Linked DNA regions of Pelodiscus sinensis. The protein of the gene in region 1 binds, or shares a complex with, the protein of each later gene. Links are inferred from orthologs where the notes say so. Each region holds a gene or a part of one and is shown in the gene's direction. Other genes may lie near its edges.

Region 1 (7,360 bases):
CCCCCGGCCCTTCCCAGCCCCCCCCCAGCTCTCGGCGCCTTCCCCCCCCCGGCCCTTCCCAGCCCCCCCCCCAGCTCTCAGCGCCTCCCCCCCGGCCCTTCCCAGCCCCCCCCCAGCTCTCGGCGCCTTCCCCCCCGGCCCTTCCCAGCCCCCCCCCAGCTCTCGGCGCCTCCCCCCCCGGCCCTTCCCAGCCCCCCCCCAGCTCTCGGCGCCTTCCCCCCCGGCCCTTCCCAGCCCCCCCCCAGCTCTCGGCGCCTCCCCCCCCGGCCCTTCCCAGCCCCCCCCCAGCTCTCGGCGCCTCCCCCCCCCGGCCCTTCCCAGCCCCCCCCCCCAGCTCTCGGCGCCTCCCCCCCGGCCCTTCCCAGCCCCCCCCCAGCTCTCGGCGCCTTCCCCCCCCCGGCCCTTCCCAGCCCCCCCCCAGCTCTCGGCGCCTCCCCCCCCGGCCCTTCCCAGCCCCCCCCCAGCTCTCGGCGCCTTCCCCCCCCCGGCCCTTCCCAGCCCCCCCCCCAGCTCTCAGCGCCTCCCCCCCGGCCCTTCCCAGCCCCCCCCCAGCTCTCGGCGCCTCCCCCCCCGGCCCTTCCCAGCCCCCCCCCCAGCTCTCGGCGCCTCCCCCCCCAGCTCTCGGCGCCTCCCCGCCCCCCCCAACGGGCCGCCGAGCTGTGGGGCGCGGGGGCCGGTGGAAGCGGCCTCAGGCCCCCCCGATCCCCTCACCCGTCCGCGGGGCCGCCTCAGCCTCGCCGCCCTGTCCCGGCCTCTCGTTGGCGGGGAGCAACCCGGCCCCGCCCGCTCAGCCAATCGCTGCCGCTCTTCCTGGGCTCGCCCCGCCCCCGGGGCGTGAGGGGGGAGGTCAGGCGGGCTAGCCCAGGCCGGGGGGGGCGGGGCCTGCAGCCTGTAGCTCAGCGCGCGCTGCGAGATCAGCCTGGCCCAGAGCCCAGGGACGCGTCTAGTGCGGGGGGGGGAGAGACACGTGTTTAAACTCAGCTCTTGCTTTTACACTTGGGCCCTGCCACACTCACAGTCCGCTTTGGTCAGTTACATGGGCCACCAGCTGTTTGAAGTGATACATTTTGTGATTTCAGCTATTTAAGTCCTGACCCAAAAACGAGTGGGAGGGGATTGCAGGGTTCTTGCAAGGGCGTTGTGGTACTGCTACGCAGCATTTCTGCATTGCTGCTTGCGGCAGTGCTGCCTTCAGAGCTGGGCGGCTGGAGAGTGGCAGCTGCTGGTCAGAAGCCCAGCTTCGACGGCTGAGTCACTGCCAGCAGCACTGAAGTAAGGAAGGCCTAGTGTGGTACTGGCACACTATCTTCTGCATGCAGAGCTGGACATTCAGCCCTGAAGGCAGTGCCGAAGTCAGGGTGGCAATACTGCAACCCCCCAATAACCTTGCGATCCCCTTGCAGTTTGTGTCAGGATCCCCACTTTGAGAAATGCTGGTCATTCCTGTGAGATCTGTACATACAGGGTAAAAGTGCCCAAGAAGATCAGATTTCACAGGGGAAAATGAGCTTTTGCAGTCAGGGACACATTTTTCATGGCTGCGAATTTGGTAGGGCCGTATTTCTACCTAGCCAGCATAAAGAACACAGGGCAGAAGTGATGATTGCTGTCTCTCTGCTCAGTGCACAAGTGTGCTATGGCCATCTACACAGTGGCAACTGCTGGAGAGGGACAACAGCTGCACTGGCCACGTGACCACCCCTCCCCATGTGACTCCTCCTCACATCACCTGTAGGTTAGGGGAGGGCCCACCTTTTCCCAGCCCTGCTCTTCCAATTCTCCAAAGCCTCTGCCCCCACTTCACCCCCACTCTACCTCTTCCTCCAAGCCCCCTCCCTTGAGCAACAAAGCCCAAGGAACTGGCGGGTGACAGGTGATGACAGCAGGGGTCAGCCCCTTCCCATTGCCCACACTCACCTGCAGTGGTAAGCTGAGCAACTCGGCCCAAGCCAGCTCTGCTCCGCCAGCCCCCAGACATGTCTATCCATTTCTGCAACTGGGGAGTGCAAGGGGCGGTTCCAACCCTTCCCCTAAACTCCTCCCCTGAGCTACATGGCTGGGAGAGTAGAGCTGGCTGGGGCCAGATTCATAGAATCATAGAGTTGGATCAGACCTCAGGAGGTCATCAAGCCACCCCTGTGAGAAGCAGGACCAATCCGAACTCAATCATCCCAGCCAGGCGGTTGTCAAGGGATGGCAATACCTCTAGGGATGGAGACTCCACCCCCTCCCTAGGGAACCCAGCCCAGTTCTTCACTATCCTCCTAGGGAAATCGTTTTTCCTAATCTCCAATCTAAATCTCCCCCACTGCAACCTGAGACCATTGCTCCTTGTTCTGCCACCTGCTCCTTGTTCTCTCCATCCTCTTTGGAACCTCCCCTTCAGGTAATTAAAGGCTGCTATGAAATCCCACTTATCTCTTCTCTTCTGTAGACTAAATAAGCCCAAATCCCGCAGCCTGTCTTCATAAATCTTTTGCTCCAGCCCCCTAATCATTTTTCCTGCCCTCTGCTGGGCTCTCTCCAATGCGTCCACATCCCTTCTCTAACAGAGGGCCCCAGAATTGGACGCAATACTCCAGGTGTGGCCTCACCAGTGCCAAATAAAGGGGAATAATCTGCTGGAAATGCTCCTACTAATGCACTCCAATATGCTGTAAGCCTTCTTGGCTACAAGGGCACAGTCTTGACTCATCTCCAGCTTCTCATTCACGGTAATCCCTAGGTGCTTTTCTGCTCAACTGCTGCTTAGCACGTCAGTCCCCAGCCAGTAGCAGTACTTGGGATTCTTCCGTCCCAACGGCGGGGCTCTGCCATTGTCCTTGTTGAACCTCATCAAATTTTTTTTGGACCAATCCTCCAATTTTGCTCTGCTCACTGCCGTAATGAGTGTGGGGGTGGGCCTGATCCCCTGCTAGTCCCCACAGACAGGCCTGGGCTGGTTGGAGGAACCATCCTATGGACAGATGGCTCTGCCCAATAACTGCTGGCCCTTTGCCCATCCCGCTATGGTGTTTGGGAAGATGTGACAATGACATCCCCATCTATGAAACAAAAAACAGGACTTTGTGGCACTTTAAGGACTAACAATATGGTTTATTAGGTGATGAGCCTTTGTGGGCCAGACCCACTTCCTCAGATCAAATAGTGGGTCTGAGGCATCTGAGGAAGTAGGTCTGGCCCACGAAAGCTCATCACCTAATAAACCATCTTGTTAGTCTTTAAAGTGCCACATAGTCCTGTTTTTTGTTTCAGCTACACCAGACTAACACGGCTACATTTCTATCACTATCCCCATCTATAAAACTGCATTTTGCCAGAGCTGCCACAAAAGAAGAAATATACAATATTGGAACCTTATAGGCCCAAGACTATGTGTACATCTGTTGTGGGACAAATAAGCATGCAGCTTACATAGATATCTACATTGGTTCTAGCATTTTTGTGCCACGCATGATACAAGGTTTTCCATATTAAGGGCATGTCAGAAGTGATGCCACAAATCATTTAGGTCCTGTCAACAACTAGAAACCTGAAGTAGGAGATTGCATCGCCATATTGAGCTCAAATGGGCTGAGAGTGAGGAAGTTCCGATAGCAGTCCAGTTCCTTCTGTCCAGCAGGAAGCAGTATTAGTCTGATAAAATCTGCACTATGCCAGTTTAAATAATCTGTCCAACTAATCTAGTGTCCGGTAGTCAATTCGTAATGCTTTTGAGGAAGTTGAACCATCTCCTCCCCACCCCCAGAAGAGAGTTCCCCATTCACTGCATCCTGAGGTTCTTCATAGAACATGTGAAAGACAGGAGCGTGTCTGGAGAGCTTAAGAAGGCGCAGTGCAATGCAGCATGCGGCGGCAGAGTGGGTCTCCTCCTTGACCACTCCCCTCATCCACCTGGCCGACTGTACGATGTAGTACTTCTGTGCCCTTCCCAGGCTCTGACGTCCAGTTACTGGTGTCACAGCCTTCATAGCTCTAAGTCTCATTTGGGGTAAAGAATTGATAGTTTCTGGACATGGGGCCAATGAACGGTCACTGTTCCTAGTCCCTCTATTCAATAATACAGGACGAGCTCATCACCTAATAAACCATCTTGTTAGTCTTTAAAGTGCCGCATAGTCCTGTCTTTTGTTCCAGCGACACCAGACTAACACGGCTGCATCTCTATCACTATTCACTAATACTACACATCCCAGAAAGCCCCTGGCCTCGTGCGCCTCTCTGCCACGCCCTAAGGTTCATGGGAATTGTAGTCCCTTGCGCTGTCACGCGCTCTTCCGCGTTCCTCTCGCCGAAGACTACAAGTCCCAGCATGCTCCGCGCTGAGCCGCCCAATCGTGCCGCGTCTAGCTGTGGGGGCGCGGCCGCGCCGAGGCCCCTTTCAAGATGGCGGACGAGAGCGAGCCTGCGGTGCAGCGGCCGCCGCCGAGGCCCCAGCGATCGCCCACGGAGGAGAATGACCACGAGCACTGCAGCGACTGCGAGAACGAGGACGGGCGCAGCTACAACCGGGGGTGAGCGCGGCCCCGAGCCCCCCGGGCCCCGCCGGACCGGCCCATTGAGCGGGGCCGCGGCCGGGAAGTGCGCCTCGCCCCGCCCTCGCGCGGCCTGATTGGCTGCCGGGCGGCGCGGCGAGCTGTGACTGGCCGGCCTCTTTGCCAGTCCAAGGGGGAGGGGCCCGTGGGCTGCAGCAGCATGTCTCGCAAGCTAAGCAGGGCCGGGCCGTAGCAGGGCGTGGATGGGAGACCTGTGGCGTGGGGTGGGGCGCCCCAGCCGGGGGCGCGGGAGCTGCTGGCCACGCCGGCGCCATAGCACGAGGGCTGCTGGTGCTTGGGTCCTGCCCACTTTGGCTTGGGGGAGGCACCAGCCGAAAGGCCCAGGAAAGGGAGCCTGGGGTGGGCATGGGCACCCTCAGTGCAGGGAGCCGCCCTGGGCAGGCGTGATTGTTGCGGACCCTGGAGAGCTTTGCACCCCAGCCAGTTGTGCTCTGGCCGGGTTTCCGCTGGGGTGACTTCATCGGCTCCCCTGCAGTTTAGCTTCCAAGCTGTGCGTGTTGCTGGGGCCTGGGAGCCGCTGTGGGGCTCTCCCTGGGGGCGAGAGACTCCAGTGCACCCCTAGCACATCGCTTCACCGTGTAATGCATGTGATGGAAATACGAGCGAAAGGGCCCCCCCTTAATATCAGGTGCAGCGAGTCTTGCATGCAACCCAGCTTGCCAGAGGCTTTGTGTTCTGCGTGCGGAAGGTGTTCCAGAGTATTACTAGGAAATGGCTACAGTGGAAAATGGAAGTTTTGTAAACAGTGAGCAATGAAAAGGGATGGGGGGGGGGTTGTCAAAATGTCTGTGTCCAGGGCAGCTTGACTGTCACTGCTGCTAGACCATAGGGCACCCACAGCCAGAAGGTTTTCCTGGTTAATGTGAACCAGGATTTTTCCCCCCTTCAAGTATGAACCTGGCTAACTCATTGGGCTTTTGTAGTTGAGTAGATCAGAGGAACAAGGCCTGGCTTCTGCTACACCAGCTGTGTCCAAACCCAGGTGTAGACAGCATGCTTCTGGTTCCAGATGGGAGGGCCTTGTTTTGCTATTCTAGTCTAATCTGTTGGGGGTTTCTAATGACCTATTTTATGGAATATTTATGCTGGAGATTTTATCCAACCCCCCTGTCTTTGCTTCTTAGTATCTAAATCGCACATCTTGAGGGATCTGGCTCGGGGATGGACTCATTGTTTTGCTGGTTCATACGGTGGGTCTGCGTATGGCGTGAGGCAGGCTGGTTGGAACAGTCTGCGAAATGCACTTGCTGCCTCCTGGGTATGAGGCTGCTTATGGCACCCAGGTTAGGGCAGCTGTTCTCCATGTTCTTCTTGCTGCCTATTGTAGGCTCCAGAAAACTTAGTTATGCGGGTGGCTTAAAGGAGAGACTTTCCCCTCCATTAGCCCCACTTTGTGTGCTGGTCAGTGTGAACTCAGCCACGTGTATAACCACAGTCTTCCAGACTTGTGCTGTGCGAATCTGAGCGTCAGTGGAACGACTTGCTCCGCTTTTCGTATCCTCGGCCCCCTAGGTGCAGATTTAGAGGCCATCAGCTAGAGAGCAGCCTCTTTGTCAGCAGCTTTTATTAGGCAATCTCTTGTGAAAGAACAAGCTGTTAAAAGCTCACGGAGGAACTAGTAAAGAAGCTTGCTTGTGCCCACAGGGGCTTGCTGTAGCGTTTCCTTTGCCCGTGGGCGGGGCACTGCTTCTTAGTGTAGTAGCTGGCCTGGGAGCTTTGATTGCCTTCTCCTCTGGCAGCTTGGGTTTGTAAAACCAGATCATCAAGGAGCAGGGCTGGGTCTCGCCTGCTGACTTTGCTTTGTGCTTTTTGCTGGCGTTGCCCAGGCCAGCTGAGTATAAACTCTCAGCCCTTTGTCTTCCTGGGGGGGAAAGTTTCGCACCTGATATTTTCCCATCCTAATGTGGACAAGGCAGGACCCCCCCACCCAGTCAAAGGCCTCTGAGAGAGAAAAGACCAAAGAGGAGAAGAGCAAGACTCCCAGAAGCTCATCCGAGTGGTGGCAGTGGGTGTGTTCTGTTCGTTTAATACGAGTGCGGAAACCAGCGTGACCCGATCCATGGATCCCAAGTGGGGGAAGCATCTGAAATGCCGCCTGTCGCGCAGCGATCTGCCAAGTGGCAAACAGCAGTGGGCAGTTCCCCTCCTCGGCGCCCGGGCGCTGCCCCAGGGCCGCTGTGCTCTTGCGACCGGGCCAGACACTGGGTCACTTTGCTGTGCAGTGGTGTTACGGGTGGGAAGCGGAGGAAGTGAGGTGGGTCTGCTTTGCTGGCGGACCGGTTCCTGGCGCAGACTCTGTGCCGAGGAGGCTTTCTTGGCCAGAGCGTCGTTTCCCGGTTTAGTGCGGGGGTGGGGGAGCTCAGGCCGTGGGGCTGGATGTGGCCCATGGCTTGCCTGGATCCAGCCCTAGGGCTCAGCACTGGGGAGCCAGTGATGGCATCCCTCCCTCCCTGCTGCTCTGCTGTGGGGCTGAGCACACCCAGTCTGCTAGCCTGGCCCCCCAGCTCCGCTGTGGGCAGTGTGGGGAGCGGCGTTCTCCTCCGTCTCTTTGCTTCTCACTTGTGTGCGGCCCCAGACTGATTTTTCTGTGGGCCAGCAGCCCCTGACCCGAAAAAGCCCCCCCCCCCTCGGTCTGTACATGGCCAACAAGTCCAATGCTCGAGTGAGCTCGTCTGCAGGGGCCCTGGAACCACCCTCGCCCCGTCGCGCTGGGGCCACTTGCGTGCTGCTCTCCCCCAAATGGCTGCATTTGGATGGTGGCCCCTGTGGGGGCTGCAGAGGGTTGGGGGGGGCAGTCGTAGCAG
Region 2 (7,634 bases), on another chromosome or scaffold:
GACAGTGGAGCCTAGCAGCCTAGGACTTGCTGAGGAGCTGGGAGCTTGCTGGCCCAGGGGCAAGGGAGTCTGGTGATTTGCTGACAGATCCTGGGAGAGCCTGGAGTCTGTCAGCAAGAGGGGCCAACCTCCCAAGGTCCAGGAAACTCCTTCCTTTGGGGCCGATCAGATCCAGAGGGTGCCAGATCAGGGAGGTCCAACGTGTAACAAGGATTCAAAAGTGGGTCTTGCAAGCTGACTTCTTAATTGCTTTAGTCATGGGGAGGTAGCGAGTAGACTCAAAGAGTAGGACTCGGTGGTTTTCCACTACGGTGACATTTTCTTGAGCTCCTTGGCTCTGGTTTTCTATAGCTCAGTTGTTGACTTGTCAAGTACATTTGTTAAAAATGAAACATGTTGGATCTTTGTTAATGGGAAAGACGCAGAAAGCTCTAGCTCTTCTACCACTCGTAGCTTGCTTGCCATTTTACAAAGCATCCACTCCCGCTCCCTGGAAACTTTTTATCTAACAAGTTAGATAATCTTGAGTGTTGTGTTGACTAGAAGTCTGTTGGGAGAGGAGTGCTTAGGACGATAGCGTTCTTGGTTACTACATTTTGATACTGGTCTGTCACTTTAAATCGAATTGGCTTTGTCTTAGCTGGGCTCAGCGTGTGCATGGGATGTTTCCTCTTAAACAACGCTCTTATCCAACCCCAGGCAACTCCATGATATTATACATAAACCAGAGTAGGTGGTAGGGATGTAAAATCCCGTTTAATCAGTTAACCGGTTCAATGTTATGTCTAATCAGTGAAGCACTTAAATGGAAGCAGGCAGAGGCTGCTCCAGCGAGGCAAGGCCTGCTGTGAGTGAGGACTGCTCCAACTGGACTGGAATGCTCCCCATCCATGGTACCAAACCGTGGGCCTGGCCCCCACCTGCTTTGGCTAACCATTCATATCCCTAGTAGCAAGGTTGGTTGGTCTGAGGAGATTAATTTGGGTTGCAGTAGGTTGCAACAGCCTCTATTTTCACACAGTGGGTGGCCATCTTACTGACAATGATAGGGGTCATTGTTTTATGACCTAGTTGGCAAATGGGAATGAATACACGTGAACAGCAATGCATCAGCAGAACTTACCTGCCAAAAATGTTAAAACCCACTCAGTGCTAGACTTAGAGATGTGTAAATAACTTGGTTGGGATTTCTGATATTAAAGCTGGCTTACAGGAGATGTCACAAATGTCACTTCCGGTAGATTTAAGGATGCCACTTCCAGTACAACTGAAAATCCAGTTGAGTTTAGCCATTGCAAAAACCATGTCTTCTCATGTAAACCTTTAAGATGCTGCCTGAGCTGACTGGATGTAGCTTTCTTGGCAGACACTATAGACATTTTCTGTAAGCTCAGCAGATATGCCCCATTCTTTGAAGCCTGCATGAACTCCTAACTGGCAACCTACATTATTCATTTGCCTTGAAAGTAAATTATATCTGTGTACCCTGTCAAGGTAGGTTATAGCGCCTGGGATTCTTTGCCATTCTTGAGGTCATTAAAGCACACGGAGGCCATGTTCCTCATTCCTGTAACACCTGTAAGAGCCTGAATCTCAAACCAAATTGACAGCTGCTCCATCTGTTGCTGATCTCCATTCTCATTCACATCAATATGTGCTGCATTCAGTAGAAACCCTTTTAAAATCAACAACCTATTTAGCTTCAGGGCCGTAGCTTGTATAGTGTGTGACTAAAATACAGGGAACTGTCGTGAGTGCTCTGTGACTTTTTATTACTGCAAAAATCTTGCTTAAATTATGGCTGGAGCATGACTGATTAGTACAGGAAAAAGCTTCACTGCTGTAACTTTTTCCCCCTTTTTGCCTGACAGAGTGAACCCTGAAGCACTTTTCAGAGAAATCCAGACCATTAACCATTCTAAGACTCTGCCATTTTAAATTCCATGCATCCTGAACTGGCACAGCTGATACTATAGATATTCTGATGTGCTCTTGATCCATTTAGCATCACAGGGTTCATGGTGCCTGGCTATGCACAGTACCAGAACAGATCCCGAAGGGTATGTCTACACTACCCCGCTAGTTCGAACTAGCGGGGTAATGTATGCATACCGCACTTGCTAATGAAGCCCGGGATTTGAATTTCCCGGGCTTCATTAGCATAAGCGGGGAGCCGCCATTTTTAAATCCCCGCTGCTTCGAACCCCGTGCAGCGCAGCTACACGGGGATCGAACTAGGTAGTTCGGACTAGGTTCCTATTCCGAACTACCGTTACTCCTCGTGAAATGAGGTGTACCGGTAGTTCGGAATAGGCACCCTAGTCCGAACTACCTAGTTCGAGCCCCGTGTAGCCGCGCTGCACGGGGTTCGAAGCAGCGGGGATTTAAAAATGGCGGCTCCCCGCTTATGCTAATGAAGCCCGGGAAATTCAAATCCCGGGCTTCATTAGCAAGTGCGGTATGCATACATTACCCCGCTAGTTCGAACTAGCGGGGTAGTGTAGACATACCCTAAGTTAGTAAAAATCTTCTTTTCTATACCCTATCCTGTCTGAATGGAGCTAGTGGTGAATGATCAGTCACTGATACATGTGAGCCATTAGTTTGGTGGTGCTGGTTGGAGTTGGAAGAAAAGGGGGGGTAAGGAACTAGGTTTGCCATATATTCATGGCACATGAGAAATCTTAAGGTGTGCCAGCATGAGCAGGCCATCTTGCCTCTGGGGTTTGTAGGAATTCAGTGGAGACAGCACAGTCTATCCTTAAGGAGTGGGAAAAGTGCAGCTGTAACAGGTATGGGGGGGCTGAAACACAAATAATCCAGATCTGACATAGATATGTTGTCTGTCTCATATGACAGCTGTTTGTCTCATATGACAACAGTACAGAGAGCATTTTGGGGGTGGAAGGGAGGAAGGAGGATTTGGGATGTGGATCTGAAATTTACTTCAAAAGGTCCTAGCTTCTGGATTCAAGCCGCTTCTGAATTCTAATTCTAGATCTGACCCCAGACATCTTTTGTGACATTGGGCACAATTCTCTGCTTCAGTTTTCTTTGGCCATAAAATGGAGTTTCTTCTTACCAAGCTGACTGGAGTTGGATGGTTAAATTGTTTGCAATGCAGTAAGTCCTAAGTAAACTGGAGAATTTGCCAAACCACGGGTGGTCAATATTGTCTAGCAGCATTACCAACACTTCCACTGCTCACTCAGCTCTTAGAAGACATTTAGGGGTAAATTAAAGCTAAATAACAGCACAGAACACTGAGAGCCAAGACTGGTGGCTATAAACAAACTTAATGGGACTGCGAGAAACTTGGCCACACCCATGCTAAGTGGATATCCAGCTAACTAAAATCATGCTGGTGCATGGATGATGCCGGGCAAGAGAGGTTCATCCTGTAGCTTCATGTTCCCCTTAGGACTGGAAAGTGGCGTTTCCCCTTAGGGACCCGAGAGTGTGATAGGAACTTATCCAGTGAATGGATCAATCACTTGTATTATGTTTTAAAGAATGTTATATCCCCTGGGGAAATTATTTGATCCAGTAAAAATTCCTGAAATTTGGAGTGCCTCATACTAATTGTCAGCCTCCTCCTTTCCCCACTCTCTGCCCCTTTTTCCCACAGCCAACTACCGCAGGAACTGGAGAATGATTCTACTCTGTAAAATGTCTGTGAACCGAGAGGGAGGGAGGCTGCCATCTGCAGCTCTCAGTATTTCAAAATTTCAAATATTTCATACAAAGAAGAGTCAGGTTGCTTCCCTGTCTCCCCTGGCCTTGGACAGATGCCTCTGTCTGAGAAGTGACCGTAAAGAGGGTCAGTTCTTAGTCAGATTGTTGACATTCACGGCAAGCCTAACTTGATTTTGAAAGCTGCATGGATAAGATGTTCAGAAGCTATAACAGACCCTGCAGGGTCAGCTGGTCAGACAACTTCATTCCATAGCTGTTGGCCTGTGGACAGAGCAGTCTACACCAAGAACTTCCTTCCATAATTCACCCTATAGGATACTGGAGGTGATAAAGTTCCTGCTGTCTTCTGGCCTATTGCAGGCAATCTCCTCTGGCTGTAAATGTGTATTTCCCCACTATAGTACTATCTCATTTCCCCCCGCCCCATGAGGATTTTTCCTTTTCTCTGCTGCTTGCTAAGGATACTCAGGAGTGCAGGCATATTGCTTGCCATTTAATGTCACTGAATTGCTTCCCTGAGATGCAGACTTGACTCTTAAAACCACAGCATACTGTCTTTTGTTTAGTAGTGGCCAGCTCCATTTAAAAACCTAATCAGATCCTGCATAGATTGTGGCAGAAAATGTGGTTTATAATTGATAGTGTTAACCTGTCCTGGATTTGCATTTTCTGAAATGCTCAGCTCTCTTCTGAGGGCTGGTCTATCTGGGGAAATCTACCATGGTAGTTATAGTGATACAGTTTCCTATGTAGATACACTTATTTCAGAATAAATGGCTCTTTCTGGTTTAGCTTGTTACTGTGCATAATTATATATATCCCTGAATAAGCAAGCCCTAAGAGGCCTGTGCTTTAGGTGGCTTGTATTAACATTTCCTAATGGCCTTGTGTTTCTTTCCACACTAGCTATTCTCCCATCAAAGCTGAAGCTGTTCAGACATTTGTATAGCCTGGTGAGTAAGAATCTAATATTGTATATACATAAATGTTTGTGAGCAGGGCTTGAATTGAATAAAAATGAGACAAAAAGACATTCTTGCCCTTTAGGAGCACCTAGAGCAGGGGTGAGCAAAATGGCCTCCACGGGCTGCATCTGGCCCATTGAGGCCTTGCTGTTCCCCCGCCACAGGCCAATCAAGGCCCGGGGGCGGAGTGAGCGCATGGAGTCTCGTCCCACCCTGCCCCTGTCCTGCAAGGAGTGCAGGGTGCTTAGAAGTGCCATAGGGCGAGAGGAGAGTTTGCACGCTCCCTCAGCCCCCGAACCCTGATTGGCTTGGGGGTGTGCAAAGTCTCCTCCCACCCTGCCAGGGGCTCAGCACTTAAAGTCAACCTGCCAGCTGCTGCTCAGCTGGTGGGTGACTCTAAGTGTGGCACTCCCTTGTAGGGCGGGAGCAGGGGGAAGCACACAAAGTCTCCCACCACCAGGGGCACAGGTACCTAGAGGGAACTGCCAGCTGTTCAGAACAGCTGGCAGTTCTGTTGGGGGGAGGGGGCAACAACTTTGTGCACTCCCCCTCCCCCAGACCAGTCAGGATCTGAGAGTGGGGAAGCACAGATATGTCCTGGCCCCACCCCTTCTGCCTGAGGCCCTGCCCCTTCTGAAGTGGCCCCAGTCAAAAATTATTGCCCACCCCTGACCTAGAGGCTCTAAATGAAGCAAGGGATCTATTATGCTACCTGCTGTAGATTAGAGACAGTAAGCACAGCCCTTGTCCTGAAGAAATCAGTTTCCTGAAATTAAAAAAAAAAAAAAATCAGGTTTTTGCCCTTGAAATGTATAAACACTTGAAGCAAAGGCTATAAGAGGTGTGGCTCACCTACAGAATGTTGGTGTTGAAGCTTGAGGACAATTAAATATTTGTATTAAGTCTGGTTTACAACTTAAAATGTAGACCTAGCAATGTCGCATAGCACTGTCGCTACGCCGACCTCACTGCCACTATAGACCCAGCTATGTCCACAGAAGAATGCTTGTTGAGCTAGTTATCCCACTTGGGGAGGTGAATTACCATCAGTGACAGGAAAAAACCCTTCCATCTGTGTAGGGAGCCTACAGCTACAGGTTCCTCCAGCATGGCTGCGGCGCTCGTAGTGTAGACTGCTGATTTATTTGAATGGAAATATCCTGCTAATGTGCTTAATCAGATGTCTGAATAGCCTAGAAGTCAGAGATGGAAAAAAGACTCCTTGGGTCACTGTGTCCATCTCCTAGTGTCACACAGAACTATTCCTTACTGTCTCTCTCCTGCTGACTTGTAATGTCCCTAGCATTAGGGTTCACATTCTGAGTGACCTCAGATAAGTCACTAGTTGCTCTGTGTTTCAGTTCCTCACCTATAAAATGGGGATTATAAATGTCCCTTCTTAAGATTGTTGGGAGTATAAATGTCACCAATTGTGTGGCAGTCAAATAATATAGGTGCCACACTTGATTGGGAAAGAGTGTGTAAGTACCTTAGAGTAAAGGCAAGTTGAGAACATCCATTTACTTTCAAGTTCATGGTGATACCACACTCTGGAGCCTTAGCAAGCTGTTAAAATTCTTTAATTTTTCTAGCTGAAAATAACTTGCTTTCTTTCCCTAGTGGCTATATTCCCCTGGCTGTCTTTAAATTGGATCCAACTATTTGTAATATTCACTAACTTTCCCCCAGAGACAGACTGACTGAACAGTTGGGCTTAGAACAACATAGTGTAAACATATTAAAAATTAAGCTTCAGGCTAATTGTGCCCTGGGATACATGCATGCAGTTCTTGTTAAAATCAATGGAAGCTGCACACATGCACTTGCCTGCTTTCAAATATTTTTCATAACCCATTGGGTAATAGACTATGCTCTTGATTTTGATACTCTGTGAAAACCCTTATATGTTCCCACTGAAATGTAAGAGAGCCTATTTTAGAAGTTAGTTACAGATTGAGTCATTTGAATTTGGATCAAGTCACAAATTGTCCCTGCTTCTTGTGTATCGAATAGTGTCATAACCCCAATGAGACATAATTCCCAGGTAACTCTGCTAGAAATATTTCTCTCTGGAATAAGAGGTTATAAAAAGATGATGTCGTTATTCTCACTGTCTCTTGTCCCCCGGCTCCCCCTTCCACAGACTGCATGTTACATTTATTTCACACGGATCATTCCAATTCTTATCAGGTTCGCTGTTCCAGTGGAACTGGCTCTGCCAGGTATCTTACGGCCAAGGGAAAATTTATCCACTCTATGAATCTCTCTCACACATTCATTTTTAACTGTATCTAAATAAAAAATCAGAGGTGCTTTTCCACTTTGCAATATACTGTCTCAGAGCCTACTTCTGAGGTTTAATTCTTGCCAGCCTGGAGCACTGATACTCCTAAAGGCATGGGGGAAGGGAAGAGGCTAGTAGTTTTTTAAGTTTCATGCTTGTCTTGCAAGGCTCCTGGATTATACGTGAGACGTCTGAAAGTAATTGCATTATCGCATTTTTGGTTTTTGACTTTAAAATATCTGAAGAAAATTAATCAAGAGTGTACAAAGGAAGAAAAATAGGCTCTGGGTTGCCCTGTGGTAATTGAGACCCCACGGAGCCAGTCAAATGAGCTTTCACTTCTGTATCTACAGACTCTATTTGTTTAGTGACTTCAAAATACATGGTTTCTTAAAGTCTAATCTAAGCAACCATGCAGGGCGTTTTGGAATATATTAACTGCTGGTGGTGCCAAACGACTTAGGGGGAGTCTTTTTCTCTTAAAGCAAAGCCTTGCTGTAGTTGTTTAAAAGCACTAAAATGTCATTGAGACTTCAAGCTATATTTAAAATGACAGGGAACTCAGTAAAATCAGTGAGCTAACATTCGTTTTCCAAGGACTAACACCAGGGGGAGGGCAGGGAAGGAACACACTTTGTTATATTTCAAACCTAGTAAAGGGGTCTTGGCCACTAAATATTGCATCCTAT
Region 3 (7,897 bases), on another chromosome or scaffold:
TGCCTTACAATGATCAATAACCATGTGGAGCAATGACCTCTAAACAGCTGGCTGTCCAGCGTGCTGACCATCTGGAGAGCTTGATTGTTCTAGCCACTTACCACCCTCATAGCCCCAAAAACACCCAGTGTAAAAATGTCCCTTTCTAGGTTACCCACAGAATTGGGCAAAACTTTTCAACCACAACTTTTTGGTGAAAAAATGCAGATTTAGTGACACTGAAATGTTTTAAAAATTCAAGTTGATTTGGCTAAATTGGTTCAGTGGGGGAAGGAAGAAGAACACATTGAAACATTTGGTTTTGATGGTTTTTAACTGATACAGTTTGATTTTGTTGGTTTGAAATGACTTTGTGTTTCTACCTTGTCTTTACGTTTCTTTTTTTTAATCAAAATGTTTTAAAATGGCTGAAATCAAAACAAAATATTTTATTTATTGTCAAAAGGAAACATTTCATTCAACCCCAAATGAGTTTTTTTCAACTTGTCAGTTCACAGAAAATGTTAAAAACTCATTTTTGGTTCAAACCCAAAATGTTCATATTTTTGAATAATCAGAATAGCCAATAAACCAAAAACGCCATTCTTTGCCCCACCGCAGTTACAAATCACACCCTCGTGGAGATTGTTGCAATACAAAGAACTGTCACGTGCTCATGGTCTTTTCTTTCTGGATGCTGCTTATTTTCATCTTTCATTTTGCTCAGCTTTGGCAATAGGAACATAAGAACGGCCGTACTGGGTCAGACCAAAGGTCCTTCTAGACCAGTAGCCTGTCTGCCCACAGTGGCCAGCACCGGGTGCCCCAGAGAGGGTGAACCAAAGACAATGATCAAGCGATTTGTCTCCTGCCATCCCTCTCCAGCCTCTGACAGACAGAGGCCAGGGACACCATTTCTATCCCCTGGCTAATAGCCTTTTATGGACCTAACCTCCATGAAATGATCTAGCTTCTCTTTAAACTCTGTTATAGTCCTAGCCTTCACAGCCTCCTCTGGCAAGGAGTTCCACAGGTTGAGTACACACTGTGTGAAGAAGAACTTTCTTTTATTAGTTTTAAACCTGCTACCCATTAACTTCATTTGGTGTCCTCTAGTTCTTCTGTTATGGGAACTAATAAATAACTTTTCTTTATTCGCCCTCTCCACACCACATCTCTAAGTTCGTCTTAGTGCATCTCTAAGGTGCCACAGGACCACACATTATTTTTAAAGTTACAGACTAACCTGGCTCAACCCCTCTGACATATGCCCATAAACACAATGGGCCTCATACATGTACACACACACACCTCTAAGCACATGCTAAGATACACACACACAGATGCAGACACATGCCCCTTCCCAGGACACGTACCCATTCACCCTCTAAGATCTGCCCTCAGACAGGTGTGCCAATGCTCACCATCCTTAAAGGAGCTATTGGCCTTCTGTGTGTCATTCACCTCCTGGGGCCCTGGGAAATGGGGGAGAGGCAGAAGTGTGGGGGAGGGATGGGACCCAGTGGAACTGCCTGGAATGAATGAAGTTGAGCTAGTTTCATGAAGGGAAGGAGCAGCTCCCAGCGCTGAGCCTGGCTTGCATGGCACCGGGCTGCTCTCCATTTGCCAGAGCGCGAAGCCATCTCACTGCTTGCGCACACGGCTCCTCCTGAGCCTCTCTCCTGCCCCCTCCGTAATCGCTCCCTCTGAGCGGACGTGCCAGGACACGCTGCCTGCGGGCCGGGGAGCTTTCATATCAACAGAAACACACCTGATGGCGAGATAGAAGCCAAATCCCAGGGGGATCATCTGGAATTAGCTGCGAAACTAAGAAGCTTCAATTTGAAGCTTGGAGGTGTGTGTGTGTGGGGGGGCTCAATTTGAAGCCTGGGGTGGTTGTGGGTTCAAGCCCGCGACCTGCCCCAGGAGCAGCAACGGTGGGCAGCTTCCTCTGGAGCTGCTGCCAGGATCGGAGCAGTGGGGCAGCCCACAAGTCCCCAGCCAGGGTCGGCCCTAGCGGCGTCCAGATCACAGCAATTTGGGACCTGCTGGCCAGAAAGGAGACAAATGAAATTAGCGGCAGTGTAATTGTGGCTGCAGTGTAATTGCGGCTCCCTCTTGCAGGTGGCCCTGGCTGGTGGCTCTCTGGCTGAGGCTGCGGTTTTCCTCCCGTTTTCACTGGCAGACCCTTTACCCATTTCAAAGGGCGGCACGGCCCCTTCGGAAAACTTAGACAGGGGTCTGTGGACCACAGTCTGAAAACCACGGCGCTAAGGGGCAGAGCGGTGTGTCCTAAGACATGGGTAACTCAGTCCTAACCCTCCCTCCCACCGAACCCCTGACTCCCCGCCTGTTTCTCTTTGCCTCTGTCCCCCGTTAGGCTCATGAATAAGCTAGTGAAGGTCCCAGTCAGCCCCAGTTCCACCTTTCCCAATAGCAGCTCCTCTGTGTTTCCAGGCCAGCCCAGTGCAGTCTCTGGGGAGGGAGCAGGGTTTGTGCCTGGGAAGGGAGGTGCCCAAAGCAATGCAGAAGGGTTAAAAGGTCTCAGCGGGGGACCCCTGTTAGTCTGGACCTTTAAAAACAACGAGTCGTCCTGTGGCACCTTAGAGACTAACAAAAATCGATCTAGGATCACGAGCGTTCAGGTGAGTTGAGCAACAACAGGGGACCCTCGGAATAAGAAGGGAGAGGGAGAAAAAAAATTACCTGTCAATTCTAGTCCCGGGGCTAATTGGGTGGGCTGGAAGCGTCCCATACTTAGCTTTGATGTCAGCTGGGTGTTGCATGTAAGGTTGTATAATCCTTAATGGCTTTGTTCAGGCCCAGGGAAACAGTGTCAAATTTGCATATAAAGGTCAATTCTTTTCTTTCTTTTTCTTTTCTCTCTCTCTCCCTCTTGTTGGCTTGTGAAATTCCTTTGAAGAAGAATGGCTACTTTTATACCCATTAACGAGGGCCCAGGCAGGTTCAAATATTCCCCTACAGCAGGGTGCAAAATAATTTTTGATGGGGGGTGGGGCACTCCAAGATATTGGTAAGTGGTCAATGTCCGCACTTTTCTATGGAGGGAGTGTGGGGTCTGGGATGGAGATTGGGTGCAGAAGGGAGCTCAGGGTAAGGGACTGGGGTGCAGGAGAGGGTGAGGGGTCTGCAAGGGAGTGTGGTGAAGGAGGGGTTCACAGCATGCAAAGCTTCCCCCTACCCCCAGCGCAGGGAGGTAGATGGAGCAGCCAGCTGCTCTGAACCCTGGGGCTGCTCCCTGCCTGTGGGTCCAGTGGGGTGGGCCACTGGCCGGATAGAAAGGCTTGGCGGGCCGGATCCGGCCCCTGGGCCATGTCTTAGCCACCCCTGCCCTACGAGTTTCTGTGTGTTCCCATTTCTGGTATCTGTTTTGTGTCCATTAACCCTTTCAGACTGTCCAGTTTGTATTGCAGCCGCTTGTGCTGCTGGCAGCCAGGAGAGGACTCGGAGCCCCGGGTGCCACAGGAGCCGAAGGAGAATCCATCAGCGTTTTCGGGGCTCTGACACAGAGGGGCAGGTTCTGGATCCCTCCAGTAGAGTGCAGCGGCGGCATGTGCGCTGGCAGGCCGGAGTTCCGCAATCTTACGCCTGCACTGCATGCGTGTAACATACATCGTACCCGCAGAGCATTGTCACCCCAGGCCAATGTCGCAGGGCCCCTGTGCTGCCCCACTCCACAGCAGCAGCATCCGCCCCTTGCAGCAGGCTCTGCACCATCCTCTCACCTCTCACCTTGTAAAAAGTTAGGTTCCCAAGAGGATGGCAAAGAGGACCTGGCTGACAGACCCCAAATGGCTCACCGGGGGCTGGCAGGCTGAGTCCACCGCCAGCCTGAGACCGCTCGTCCTTAAAAAATGAGGTTTACGCGGGTTTTTTCCGAAAAAGAGGTTTTTTTCCGGAAAAAAACCATGTCCAGACTACTTTCACTTTCGAAAGATCCTCTTTCGAAAGATATGCAAATTATGTGGAATTTGCATATCCTCTTTCGAAACACCCCCCCCCATAGTTTAGATGTATTGGGGGCTGCGAGAGGTGAACGACTGCGCTCCCCATACAAGGAGGTAAAACGGGGCGCAGGGCGATATCGGTCGCACTGGGATCTCACTGGGGATCCCTGCAGCAGACACCCCCAGCTAGTGGCCTAATCCCACAACGCCACGCAGCCCCTCCCTCCCCATAACTCCCCCAGGCAGCTTCGGTGGGGCACCAGGCCTGGGTGGGAGCTGGGGGGCAGCAGGCTGCCATCCACAACACAGGGGGCTGGAATCGGCTTTCTGGGCTGCCCCACTGGCTGCCAATGTAGGTGCTGCACGCCAGCCCCTCCCCCCCCGCCTTTCCTGCCCCCCAGGCGTTGCCACCTTGCTCCCCCCCCCCCCCCCCCAGGCATTGTCCCAATCAGCCGCCTCCTCGGGCCTCTCATCTGGCTGCAGCTGGGGCGTCTCCCCGGGGAGTCTCCCCTAGCGGGCGGGGGGGGGGGGTGTTTTTTGGTCCATTCCTGGCTGCTGCCTGTGTTTTTAAAGCCCGCTCTGAATCGAGCCGCCTGGTCGGCGAGGCGTCCCGGAGCGTCCCCCTCGCCCCCTCCCCGGCAGGCGTCCTGCGGGAGGCGGCTGTCAATCACCGCTCCAGATCCCATTCAAGTGTCGGGCTCCGAGCCGGACTGCACCAAGCCGGCCCAGGGACGCGGGGGTGGGGGGCAGTGGGCGCCGGCAGCCAGCCCCGCCAATCGGGGGCGCAGCGCGGGCGGGGCGCGGGCGGGGCGCGGGCAGGGCCCCCCGGCGCCGTCAGGGCAGCTGCCGCGGGGATTTGCTCCGGGTGGGACCGTCCCCCCCGCCCTTTCCCGCGGCGCCTCCCCCGGGCCAGTTTTGCAGGAGTCCCCCCCCCCCCCCCCATTCACCGTCCAGCCGCCCCCGCCCCGAAGTTGCTGGGCTCGTGCATTGGCGCCTGCATGGAGCAGTAGCCGCGGCAGGGATGCGGCGCTCGGGCGGGCACTAGGCGGACACGCAGGGGGGTGGGGGGAAGCAGCCGCCGCTTCTGCTCGCCGGGCAGGTAGGCAGCCGCGGGGGGCAGGAGCCGGGCGTGGGGGAAGCTGCCCCTGCGGGTGGGTCTCTGCCCCCTTTCCCGGGGGGATCGCCAGCTCCTGCCGCGCTGGGGGCCGGGGGGGTTAAGGGGGGGCTTTGCAAGAAATCAAACCCTTTTGCCCCAAAGGCAGCGGCCCATGGCTCTGCGGCGGGGGGGGGGGCATGGCTCGTCCCCTGTCCCGTGGCATAGGGGGTGGATCCCCCCGCCCATCTCCCGCTCCATGCAGCCCCCCCCCCCCGGCTTCGAGAGCTGCGGGGCTCGTTGCTCCCCCCCCCCTGCGGCTGCGGAGCCGGGGAGCCGCATGCAGGTGCCCCCTCCCGGGGCAGGAGCGCGCGGTCCCGCTGGAAGGGCGTGCGATGGGGGGCAGGGCTGGGGGCGAGCCGCCTGCTTTGCTGCAGTGGGACTCGGCTGCTCCCAGGGGGGACCCACCCCTCTGGCCGGACGGCTGCTGTCCGTCCCCCTCCCCCCGCAGATCTACAGTGCCCCCCCCAGCTCTGTGCCGCAGCCACCGGCGCTGAAGCGCATCCTGCCCGCCGGCCGGCGGCGGGGTTCCCCGGCTCCCCTCCGGGGGCTCGCCGAGCTCAGGCCCGCCTCCCCTGGCGGCGCTGCGCTCTGCTCCCGGGAGCTGCAGGGAAGCCGAGAGCTGCCGCAGCACTGGGGCCGCCTGCGGCTGGCGGAGTCCGAGCGCTCCGAGCCGGGGGGGGACCGTGCGCTCCGAGCCGGGGGGGACCGTGCGCTCCGAGCCTGGGGGGACCGTGCGCTCCGGCGTTGTCCCTGGCTCCTGGGACCCCCAGCCCCTTCCTGACACAGGGCGCCCCTGGGCTGGGCGCTCCTGGCTCCAGCCCCCCTGCTCCCTGTGACCCCAGGCTCCGCTGCTTAATGCGGAGGAAATGGGCAGCATGTGGTGGAGAGGGGGTGGGGACAGGGAGGTGCTGGATAACATACCTTGGAGAGCGGCCCAGCGCTGCTTCCGGGGCGCCGCATCCATCTGGGCTGCTCATTCAGCCTCTTCCCCAGGGAGAATGGCAGGGAGGCCCCTGAATCTCGGGGGAGCCCCTCCTCTGAGCCTCTGCCCCACTGCTGCTTCCACTGCCCCCCGGTCCACGGCCCAGGTGCCAGGTGCCCAGGCAGGGGGCTGCTCCAGCCCTGCACGGCCCACCACGGCCAGGGGCTGCTCCGGCCATGGCCATCCAGAGTAGCCCCTGTCCGTGTGGCACGGGGGGGGGGGGGCTGCCCATCTGCCCTCCCTCCTTTAATTGGTTAACCAGTTAGACATCACAATTAACCAATTAAACAGGGTTTTACATCCCTAGGCAGGACAGGGGACGCGGGCAGAAGAGGTGGCTCTGAGGGCCAAGGCCTGCAGAGCCAGCAGGGGCCTGAAGCCGCAATAGTGGCCGGATTAGAACCCGGGGAAGGGCTCTATGGACGGAGACCCCTGGGAACGTGGTGGGATCTGCTCCCGGGCTGGGGGGTGCTGAATGGAGGGGTCTCCTCTGCTCGGAAAAGGGACGCCCAGGGAGGAGGCTTTGCCGGGATTTCCCCTCCCTTTGTGCTCCCCTTCCAGACGCCTCCCCCTGCTGAGACCTGCTCGACACGCGGGCGGGGTGCTGGCCACGGCTGGGAGGCTGGTCACCTTTTCCTGAGCACTGTTGGGGGGGGTCTCCTCTGGGGGGAAAGGGGCTCTCAGAGTGAAGACCCTCCCCTCTAGAATCTGACACCCGGTTGGATTCTCACCCACCTTGGGGTGCAGCCCAGGGCCCGGCTGCTCACCGAGCCTTTGCCAGACGGGCTGAGAGTGACGCTTGCTCTGAGCTGGCGCTAGCCCACTGAGGCACTAAGCAGGCTATTGGGGGCTCCTTCCGGCACTCAGACTGGCCAATGTGTAGCATAAAAAGCAAAGCGGGGATCCCCTGGACTTGCTCGGGGCCCGAAGGAATTTCGTAGCCGGCTTATGCCCAGCGTGGCTCTGAGCGCCTGTCAGCGGAACTGAGGCCCGCGCCCGTGACTTCCAGCTGCCATGGGGCAGGGTAGCTGCGATTCAGGAATCGAGTGTCGGGGTGCGAATGGATCGCTGACTGTCCCTCTCCGTTCTTCTTTCCAGCGCCTGGGTCTTCCGTGCCATCTCTGTGCTCCTGTGGGTGAGTAGAGGATGGAATCCAGGCCTTGTGGGCGAGGCTGTGGTGCATCTGGGTAGCTCAAGCGGGGGTAGGGCTGTGTGTGTGTGTGTGTGTGTGTGTGTGTGTGCATTTAGAGATGTTTTAAGTGTGTGTTGGGGGGGGCTACAAACGAACGACTTCCAGCGTAATCTCAGTCCAGGCGTGATTTCTGCAAGCCCTGGGTGTCTCGCAGGATGCTGCGCGTTCCAGTTGCAGCGTTAGATCATTGCTCCTCGCTGTTAGTGCAGCGGGCAGGTGTTGAGAGACCCAACCTGGAAAGGCAGGGAAATCCCTTATTAATTGACTCTGCCTTCAAGGCCTCATTCGCAGGCCAGCTCTGCCTCGGGCCATGGCTCAGACTTGGCCAGGCAGCACAATGCAGGCCGGGGCGCGTTCTGGACGTGCGTTTGTTCTTGGAAGGGGCTGACAGGGCTGGCCGTCTCTCCGCTGAGCAGCGACAGTGATGTCTAATGGGAAGCGCGTGAGCTGCTCTCTGCTCTGAGCAAAAGGGTGGGGGAGGAGGGGCTAAGTGTGAGCACTGCTGAGCCCTGGGGAGGATCGGTTTGGTGGGGGGAGTTTAAACGGGCTAGGATTTGGGAAGGAGTCTCAGGGAATTAGGTGCCCTGCTGCTTTTGTAACTGAGTGGAAGCCTGATACCG
Region 4 (7,503 bases), on another chromosome or scaffold:
GCAAATGAAGCACGGATTTGAATTTCCTTTGCTTCATTTGCATAATGTGGCTGGATGCTTTTCCAAAATAGCATATTTCGAGAAAAAAATGGGGTTATTTTGAAAAGAAACCCTTCCTTCGAAATAACTTTTACTCCTTAAAAAATGATAGCACACAGCACCATTGCTCCCACAGACAGGCTATTATGTCTCTCTCTCACCACAGGATGGCAGGGTCGGTGCATCTCCTGCATGTGGTTAACCCCTATCCTACAGGGTAGTTGCAGTATCTGTAGGGTTTTGTTTTGTCCCAAGGCACCTGGTGTGTGCATGTGCTGCACAGTTCTTTCTATGGAAGAATGCCTGGAGCATGGCTGAACTAGTTCAACTGAAGCTGGAGACAATCCAGAGAAGAGCAACAAGAATGATTAAAGGTCTAAAAAACATCGCCTATGAGGGAAGACTGAAAGAACTGGGTTTGTTTAGTTTAGAAAAGAGAAGACTGAGAGGGAAAATTATCGCAGTTTTCAAGTATCTAAAAGGGAGGAGGGGGGGAAAAAATTCTGCTTGGCCTCTAAGGATAGGACAAGAAGCAATGGGCTTAAATTGCAGCAAGGGCAATTTAGGTTGGACATTAGGAAACATTTCCTAACTGTCAGGGTGGTGAAACACTGGAATAAATTGCCTAGGGAGATTGTGGAATTTCCAACAGTGGAGATATTTAAGAGCAGTTTGGATAGACATCTATCAGGGATGATCTGGACAGTGCCTGATCCTGCCATGAGGACAGGGGACTGGACTCAATGATTTCTTAAGGTCCCTTTTGGTTCTAGTATTTTATGATTCTGTGACCCCTGGAAAAGCCACTGACTCATGTGTGAGGGACCAGTCTCAGATCCAATCTTTGCAGAAGTACTTTAAAGCAAGTTAAACTGACACCCTCTTCCTAGCTTTTTCCCTTTGGCTACGTCTAGACTGGCATGATTTTCCGCAAATGCTTTTAACGGAAAAGTTTTCCGTTAAAAGCATTTGCGGAAAAGAGCGTCTAGATTGGCACGGACGCTTTTCCGCAAAAGCACTTTTTGTGAAAAGAGTCCGTGCCAATCTAGACGCGCTTTTGTGCAAAAAAGCCCCAATCGCCATTTTCGCCATCGGGGCTTTTTTTGCGCAAAACAAATCTGAGCTGTCTACACTGGCCCTTTTGCACAAAAGGACTTTTGCCCGAACGGGAGCAGCATAGTATTTCCACAAGAAGCACTGATTTCAGACAGTAGGAAGTCAGTGTTCTTGCGGAAATTCAAGTGGCCAGTGTAGACAGCTGGCAAGTTTTTCTGCAAAAGCAGCTGCTTTTGCGGAAAAACTGGCAAGTCTAGACACAGCCTTTGGGTGTGTCTACACTACAGTGTTATTTTGAAATAACACATCTAGACACAAAATGCATTTCAAAATAGCGTTTTGCTATTTTGAAATAGCGCGTTCACACTGATTGGATGCTGCATCGCATTTAAGGCCGGCCAGAACCTGTTCTGGCAGGGCATCAGGTCAGGAGTTACCTTGTGTGGCTGCTGCCTGAGGCTAGCTGAGACCTGTGCTTAAAGGGATCCCCCTGGACAGCCGGTTCTAAGGTTTCCCTGCTTGCCTGCCTACCTCACTAAGGGACAGCAAAGCATTTTTTTCTCTGTATGTTCTGGTTGCCCTCACTCAGGACACCACACCACTCTGCAGCATGGAGCCGGAGCTGCCTCTGGGCACTCTGGTGCTTCTCCTGGATGTGTTGCTGTGAGCCTGGCAGCACGTTCTGCAGGCAGTAACAGTCTCCCTGATGTGCCCCACTGGGGGCTTGTGCCTCATTCCTCCCTCACGTCCTTCCACTTACCCCTCCCTAACCTCCCTCCCTGCTGTACAATAAAAGACACATGTTCATTACAACAAAGCTTCTTTAGTGAACAAAACTGGAGTGAGAGGGAGAATGAAACTGAGGTAAGACTGGGAAAAGAAGGTGAGAGAGGGAAGGAGAGAGAGTGGAGGGGGAAACCTGGGAGGAGGGAGCTGGCAGGGGGTGGCAAGGGGAGGAAGGAGGAGGAGAAGCTCAGGGCTCAGGTTTGGGGGGGGTCTCACCAGGCCAACTGTCTCCCAGAACCACGGGTGTGGAGGCCTCAGCATCCCTGGGGGCTTGGCAAGGATTGGGAGGAAGAAGCGGGAGGGGGAGAAGGAGTGGGAGGAGGAGCGGTAGCTGGGGAGGCAGCAGGGGCTGAAGCAGCAGAGACAGGAAGCTCTACCCCAGGGTCAATGACTACCTGGGGGGCACAGACCATCCTGCCCCCCAGGATGTGTTCCACAGCATCAAAATAGGGGCAGGGGCCTGGGTCTGCCCCTGGTTGGGAGCTGTCCCCTGTGGCCCTGGCATACGCCTGCAGCAGCTCTTTTATTTTCATATGAACCTGCTCCTGGATTCGCATGCGGCCTTTGGTGGCGAGGCTGGCAGCCATCCGCCTGTAGATGGTTGCGTTCCTCCATTTAGTGAGGAGATCGTGGATGTTGGAGGCATCCCCCCAAACCTGAATTAGGTCCCTGATCTCCACTCTGGACCAGGCAGGCACCCACCTTTTTTGGCCCCTGGCAGGCTACTGGAAGATGGCAGACTGGTCCTGGGGAGCGGTGGAGGGCTGGCTGGCACTGGCTGCCTGGCTCATGCTGGGGCCACTGGGTCTGGTACAGCGACTGCTGGCTCTGGGATGGCAGGCTTGGAGCTGGCACAGGCACTGTGGCCAGAATCTACCCCTTTAAGGGCTCCGCTGAGGGGGGAGGGGAGAGAGAAGTTTTCTCGGTTGTGCCCAGAGTGGCCACCAGGGCACTCTGGGAAGGCTGGAGGCCCCCTATTTTGAAATAAACACCTACATAGCGCTTATTTTGAAATAGCAATTTCGAAATTGGTGCTATTCCTCTTGGAATGAGGTTTACCAATTTCAAAATAAGCCCTCCGCTATTTTGATTTAATTTTGAAATAGCGGTTTGGCTGTGTAGACGCTGGTAAAGTTATTTCGAAATAACGGCTGTTGTTTCAAGATAACTTTGCTGTGTAGACATACCCTTTCACATTTTATCCAGCCTCAGGGTAACTTTTGTGCATAGTGGGTTGGTCAAGTAGCAAAGCTTTCTGCTTTGTTTTGAAGTGGTCCCAGATTCCTACCTAGCTAAGCTTTTACAAACACATTCAGTAAGCTCATATCTATCTCCATGATGTATTTAGTTTTCCCATCCAGGAAAAGGGAAGTTGTAACCATGTCTGCTGTTTTACCAGACAACAGATTCCTACCCCCACCTTTTTGTGTGCTGCAAGTTGGTGTGACCCTCTCCTAGCTTCAGTGTCCCTTACTTTCCTACCCTGACATCCTGTTGCAGCCTGGACACCCCTTAATGTGTTCTCTTTGGGGCTTCTGTTTTTAGGGTCTTCTCTGTATGTTTCCCTGTTATTTTTGTGCAGGTTTTAGCTCTTAATGGGCTGAGCTGAGCTGAAGTGCTTGCTTCTCCGGGTTTCTCCTTTCACAGGGGTGTTCTTCCCATACCCCAATTCCTTGTCCCAGCCCTGATCCCCCTTCTACCCTCTGAACACCTTGGTACCAGCCTGGTGAACCCTCCTCCATCCCAAACCTGTTATCCTTGGCTCAACCCTAAATCTTGCTCTCCCAGCCAGAGCCCTCACCTCCTCCCTTGCCCCTTGCACACAATTTCATGAGCATTCATGGCTTGCCATACAATTTCCATGCTGAGATGTGTCCTTCAGGCCAAAATGTTTGCTCATCCCTGCACTAACTTCTTGCATATGTGGTAAAAACGATATTTTAGCTTCTCAGTAAAATATCCCATCAGGAATACAACAAATCCCTTTATGAAAGGGGAATACATCTATATATATCACTGAGAAGTAATAAAAGACATGTATCAAGATGGAATGAAAAAATCCCATAACCAGAAGGAGTAAAATCAGTCCATATACCAAGAGGAATTTTTAAAACAATCAGGGGATATAAAAACTCTGTATGGTAGGAAATATTACTATTGCCCTTACTCCAAAAAACCCCAAAACTTTCCATGTGATATAAGATTAAAATAATCCCATAAATTAAACACAACTGAAAAACACCATAAATCAGAGAAAGTAACAGAATACTGTATCTGAAGTGGCTGTAGGGGGAAAACACACACATTTGAGGCATTAAAAACAACTGGTAGATCTGTGAGGAGGGATAAAAAATGCAATATCTGGAGGGAGCAGATAAAAAAAAAAGAGAGGGATATGAGACCCTATTTCTGGAGGGAGGGAAGGATGGAGTACACACGCGGTACCCGGCAGTTCACCTTCAGGTGTGCCCCTGCCTACTACCTTATCCACTCAAAGTTCCTGCAGCCCACATGAACAGTATGCCACATCCAGGACACCTCTATGTTAACCCTATGTTTGCCCCCTAACCCCCACCATTGGGCCACACATCAATAGCATACAATTCTCGCAGCAGGGGAAGATACATTTATCCTACAGCAGTGAAGAGGTTAAGCAAGAGAAGTTCACTGGCCTTCTTCCTCTGACATCACAGTCAAAGGCCTCCTGTCAGCCCCCAGAGCGTTTATGCAGTGAAGTCCTTTGAAAGGTGCATGAAGTTCTTAAGCAATCAATAGTGACTAAAAAGGTACAAGCTGCCATAGCAGCTGCTAACTGAAAGGGGCTGGGATGCAGGAGAATTCCTGCTTCCCTGGTGTTCTGAGCTACTATATCAAGACTGCATGCAGCCCAAGAGAACTGGCTGTACTCCCTGCTGCAAGCCTAGGACAAGCTGCATTACTACACACACTGTGACTTGCCTCAAGCCTCTTCTAAATTGGAATACAAAGCAAAGGATTTCCAGTGTAGCTTTCTGCTGCCTGAAGGGACTCTAAGAAGCTCTCTTGTAACTCTATGGTTTAATTTCATTGTGGCTTGAGGCTTCAGTCTTTCCGCTCAGGTAAGCAGCTATTTTAGATTGTGCATTATTTTGCTTTATGAGCAGCAAATGGATAGATATTTGTCTGGTTGAAAACTGAAGTGTAAAGAAGCTGTTTCTCTCAAATAATGATCAAGTTCATGTTTACATATCTATTCTGTTGACATTGCTAAAATAGTATAATTGTGGCTTTCTGAATAGATTGATTATATCATCCTATGTAGTATTGCTCTAACTGAAAATTAAAACCTAAGAAAAGAATACAAGCTGCCTCCTTTGTGTTCCTTCTAATTTAACATTGATCGGATGCAGCTCCTATATGCTGCAATGTGTGTTATTACTACCTACATAGAATTCAGTTGATTTGTATTAGCAGCACATCATGCAATGTTTTGTTTAGGTTTGCTGTGTCACATTCAGTGTGGGCTAGTCCGAAGCTTCGTTAATGATAAATGCTGAATCAGGTCTTCTAGTATAAATAGCAATCATATTTATTAACTATTCCTGATACCCTGCAGTATAAGTTTAAATTGCTAAGCACAAGATAACATAGGCTAGTAGTTAAAGCACAGGACAGTGAATTGGAACAGCTGGATTAAGATTTTCAAACTTGGCTGCCTAAAATAAGGTTTCTAAACCCATATTTAGGCATCTAAATTGAGATTTGTGGGCACATAATTCTCTTAGGTTCCGTTTAAAAACCAAGCCCTTTATTTAAGGGTGGTATTTTCACTGACTGAAACCAATGAAAATCAGATTAGTTAACCAGTTGGTTAGAAATGGTCAATGATCTTAGACTAGAATTTTAAAAGGTGCCTAGTAGAGATGGATACCCAGCTCCCATTGATTGTGAGAGTTGGACACATAATGCCATTTGACCTCCTTGACAATCACAGCTTCAGGAGCCCAATGATAAACTGTCAAGTGTGAAAATAATGACCCTGATTTCCATAAATTGGCTTAAAACAGAGCTGCAGATATCTCTAGATTTTCTGGGCTATAATGGTTGATGGCCTTGTTGGTGGCTGACAAGTCTAAGATGGTGAAACTTAGGAAGGAACTATCCATTGCACACATACAAAATGGAAACTGCCTGTCTAGGAAGGAGTACTGCAGAAAAAGGAATCCACGGGTCATTGTGGACTACAAGCTAAATATGAGTCAGTAGTGTGACATTGTTGCAAAAAAAGCAAACATCGTTCTGGGATGTATTAACAGGAGTGTTGTAAGCAAGACAGAAGAAGTCATTCTTCCGCTCTAGTCTTTGCTGATTAGGCCTCAACTGAAGTACCGTGTCCAGTTCTGGGCGCTACATTTCAGGAAAGATGTGGACATATTGAAGAAGGTCCAGAGAAAAGCGACAAAAATGATTAAAAGTTTAGAAAAAATGATCTGTGAGGGAGGATTAAAAGAATTAATTTATTTAGGCTTGAGAAGAGAAGAAAGAGATTTTAGTACCTAAAAGGTTGTTTCAAGGAAGAGGGAGAAAAATATTCTCCTTAACCTCTAAGGGTAAGACAAAAAGCAATGGGCTTAAATTGCAGCAAGAGGTGTTTAGGTTGGACATTACAAGAAATTTCCTAACCCTCAGAGTTTAAGCACTGGAATAAATTGCCTAGGGAGATCGTGGAATTTCCATCACTGGAGATTTTTAAGAGCAGGTTAGACTGGGATGAGCTTCAACTGGAGTGTGGTCCTTTCATGAGTGAAGGGGATTGGACTTAATGACTTTTCAAGGTTCCTTTCCAGTTCTATGATTCTATGGGGTACTGATTCTGAGCTGTCAGCAGGAAAAGATTATGCAGGCTTCGGTAGCAGTGGATTCAGTGGAGAGCAAGGAGCAAGAAGCTGAATTGGAGAAAGTCTAGGCTGGAATGGGAAGAAATCTCAGATGACAATTGTAGACAGCATGTTCAATAAGTTTACATCTAAAAGGCAGATGGACTGGTAGTTGGAGAGGCAAATGGTGTCAAGGGTGAGTTCTTAAGGTGGGAAAGTATACAGTTTGTGTAATGAAGGGAAGGAGCTGGAGGAGAGTGAGAAGGAGAAGAACAAGTGCAAGGCTGGAAGAGGGAGCACAGGAGATCAGGAGGTGGGATGGGGTCACTGGGGAAAGTGGAGGAGAAGAGCAGATCAGAAACATCTGTATCTGTGACGGGAAAAAAGGAAGTTGAGCTGAGGGGAGAGGTAAAGTTACATGATATTTTGTCAACTTTATGTCAGAATAAATTGGTGAGAGTCTACGTAGAGACAGAATTGGAGCAGAAGGATGGGAGAGGGTGAGGCATAAGTCAAATTAAGGCAGGAATAGGATTCAGTTAAGTTGACAGAATTATTTAGCTAGGAAGATGGCAGAACTGAAGGTCATAGGATTTCTGCCAGCAATGCTCTGTAATGGGAGAGCAGGAGTGGAGGGAATGAGCCAGGGCTGTGGGTTGGCAGGATGTACATTGTGGGCAGTAAGTGGGTCAAAAAAAGTCAAGCATGCAAGTTAGTGAAGCATGGAGAGAATTAACAACAATGGCAATCAAAGAAAGGGAGGAGA

What was found.
Region 2: the proteins of NMT1 (region 1) and NCS1 are in contact, whole or in part, in a crystal structure (PDB 5O9S), measured with the Homo sapiens proteins. The link is inferred for Pelodiscus sinensis from reciprocal best matches to the Homo sapiens genes NMT1 and NCS1. Residues at the interface, in NP_066565.1 of Homo sapiens: Tyr180, Val181, Glu182, Asp183, Asp184, Asp185, Met187, Phe188, Arg189, Phe190, Tyr192, Asn246, Thr282, Ala283, Gly284, Arg295, Tyr296, His298, Ser300, Lys310, Phe311, Ser312, Tyr401, Leu403, Ser405, Tyr420, Gly468, Ile469, Gly470, Asp471; in NP_055101.2 of Homo sapiens: Gly2, Lys3, Ser4, Asn5, Ser6, Lys7, Leu8, Lys9.
Region 3: the proteins of NMT1 (region 1) and HPCA are in contact, whole or in part, in a crystal structure (PDB 7OWM), measured with the Homo sapiens proteins. The link is inferred for Pelodiscus sinensis from reciprocal best matches to the Homo sapiens genes NMT1 and HPCA. Residues at the interface, in NP_066565.1 of Homo sapiens: Tyr180, Val181, Glu182, Asp183, Asp184, Asp185, Met187, Phe188, Arg189, Phe190, Tyr192, Ile245, Asn246, Phe247, Thr282, Ala283, Gly284, Tyr296, His298, Ser300, Lys310, Phe311, Ser312, His313, Tyr401, Leu403, Ser405, Tyr420, Gly468, Ile469; in NP_002134.2 of Homo sapiens: Gly2, Lys3, Gln4, Asn5, Ser6, Lys7, Leu8, Arg9.
Region 4: the proteins of NMT1 (region 1) and AIFM3 are in contact, whole or in part, in a crystal structure (PDB 6SJZ), measured with the Homo sapiens proteins. The link is inferred for Pelodiscus sinensis from reciprocal best matches to the Homo sapiens genes NMT1 and AIFM3. Residues at the interface, in NP_066565.1 of Homo sapiens: Tyr180, Val181, Glu182, Asp183, Asp184, Asp185, Phe188, Arg189, Phe190, Asn246, Thr282, Ala283, Gly284, Tyr296, His298, Phe311, Tyr401, Ser405, Ile469, Gly470, Asp471, Asn473, Leu474, Leu495, Gln496; in NP_001373743.1 of Homo sapiens: Gly2, Cys4, Phe5, Ser6, Lys7, Pro8.

What each region holds. Positions count from the first base shown.
Region 1 is NC_134739.1:489,069-496,428, forward strand, and holds the start of NMT1 (glycylpeptide N-tetradecanoyltransferase 1), read left to right. Parts: upstream 1-4,354; 5' UTR 4,355-4,386; coding exon 4,387-4,514; intron 4,515-7,360.
Region 2 is NC_134732.1:13,197,584-13,205,217, forward strand, and holds the start of NCS1 (neuronal calcium sensor 1), read left to right. Parts: upstream 1-4,633; 5' UTR 4,634-4,649; intron 4,650-7,634. UniProt on the Homo sapiens protein: Neuronal calcium sensor, regulator of G protein-coupled receptor phosphorylation in a calcium dependent manner. Directly regulates GRK1 (RHOK), but not GRK2 to GRK5. Can substitute for calmodulin. Stimulates PI4KB kinase activity.
Region 3 is NC_134735.1:3,160,225-3,168,121, reverse strand, and holds the start of HPCA (neuron-specific calcium-binding protein hippocalcin), read left to right. Parts: upstream 1-4,893; 5' UTR 4,894-5,046; intron 5,047-7,183; 5' UTR 7,184-7,220; intron 7,221-7,897. UniProt on the Homo sapiens protein: Calcium-binding protein that may play a role in the regulation of voltage-dependent calcium channels. May also play a role in cyclic-nucleotide-mediated signaling through the regulation of adenylate and guanylate cyclases.
Region 4 is NC_134725.1:14,366,084-14,373,586, forward strand, and holds the start of AIFM3 (apoptosis-inducing factor 3), read left to right. Parts: upstream 1-4,503; 5' UTR 4,504-4,979; intron 4,980-7,503. UniProt on the Homo sapiens protein: Induces apoptosis through a caspase dependent pathway. Reduces mitochondrial membrane potential.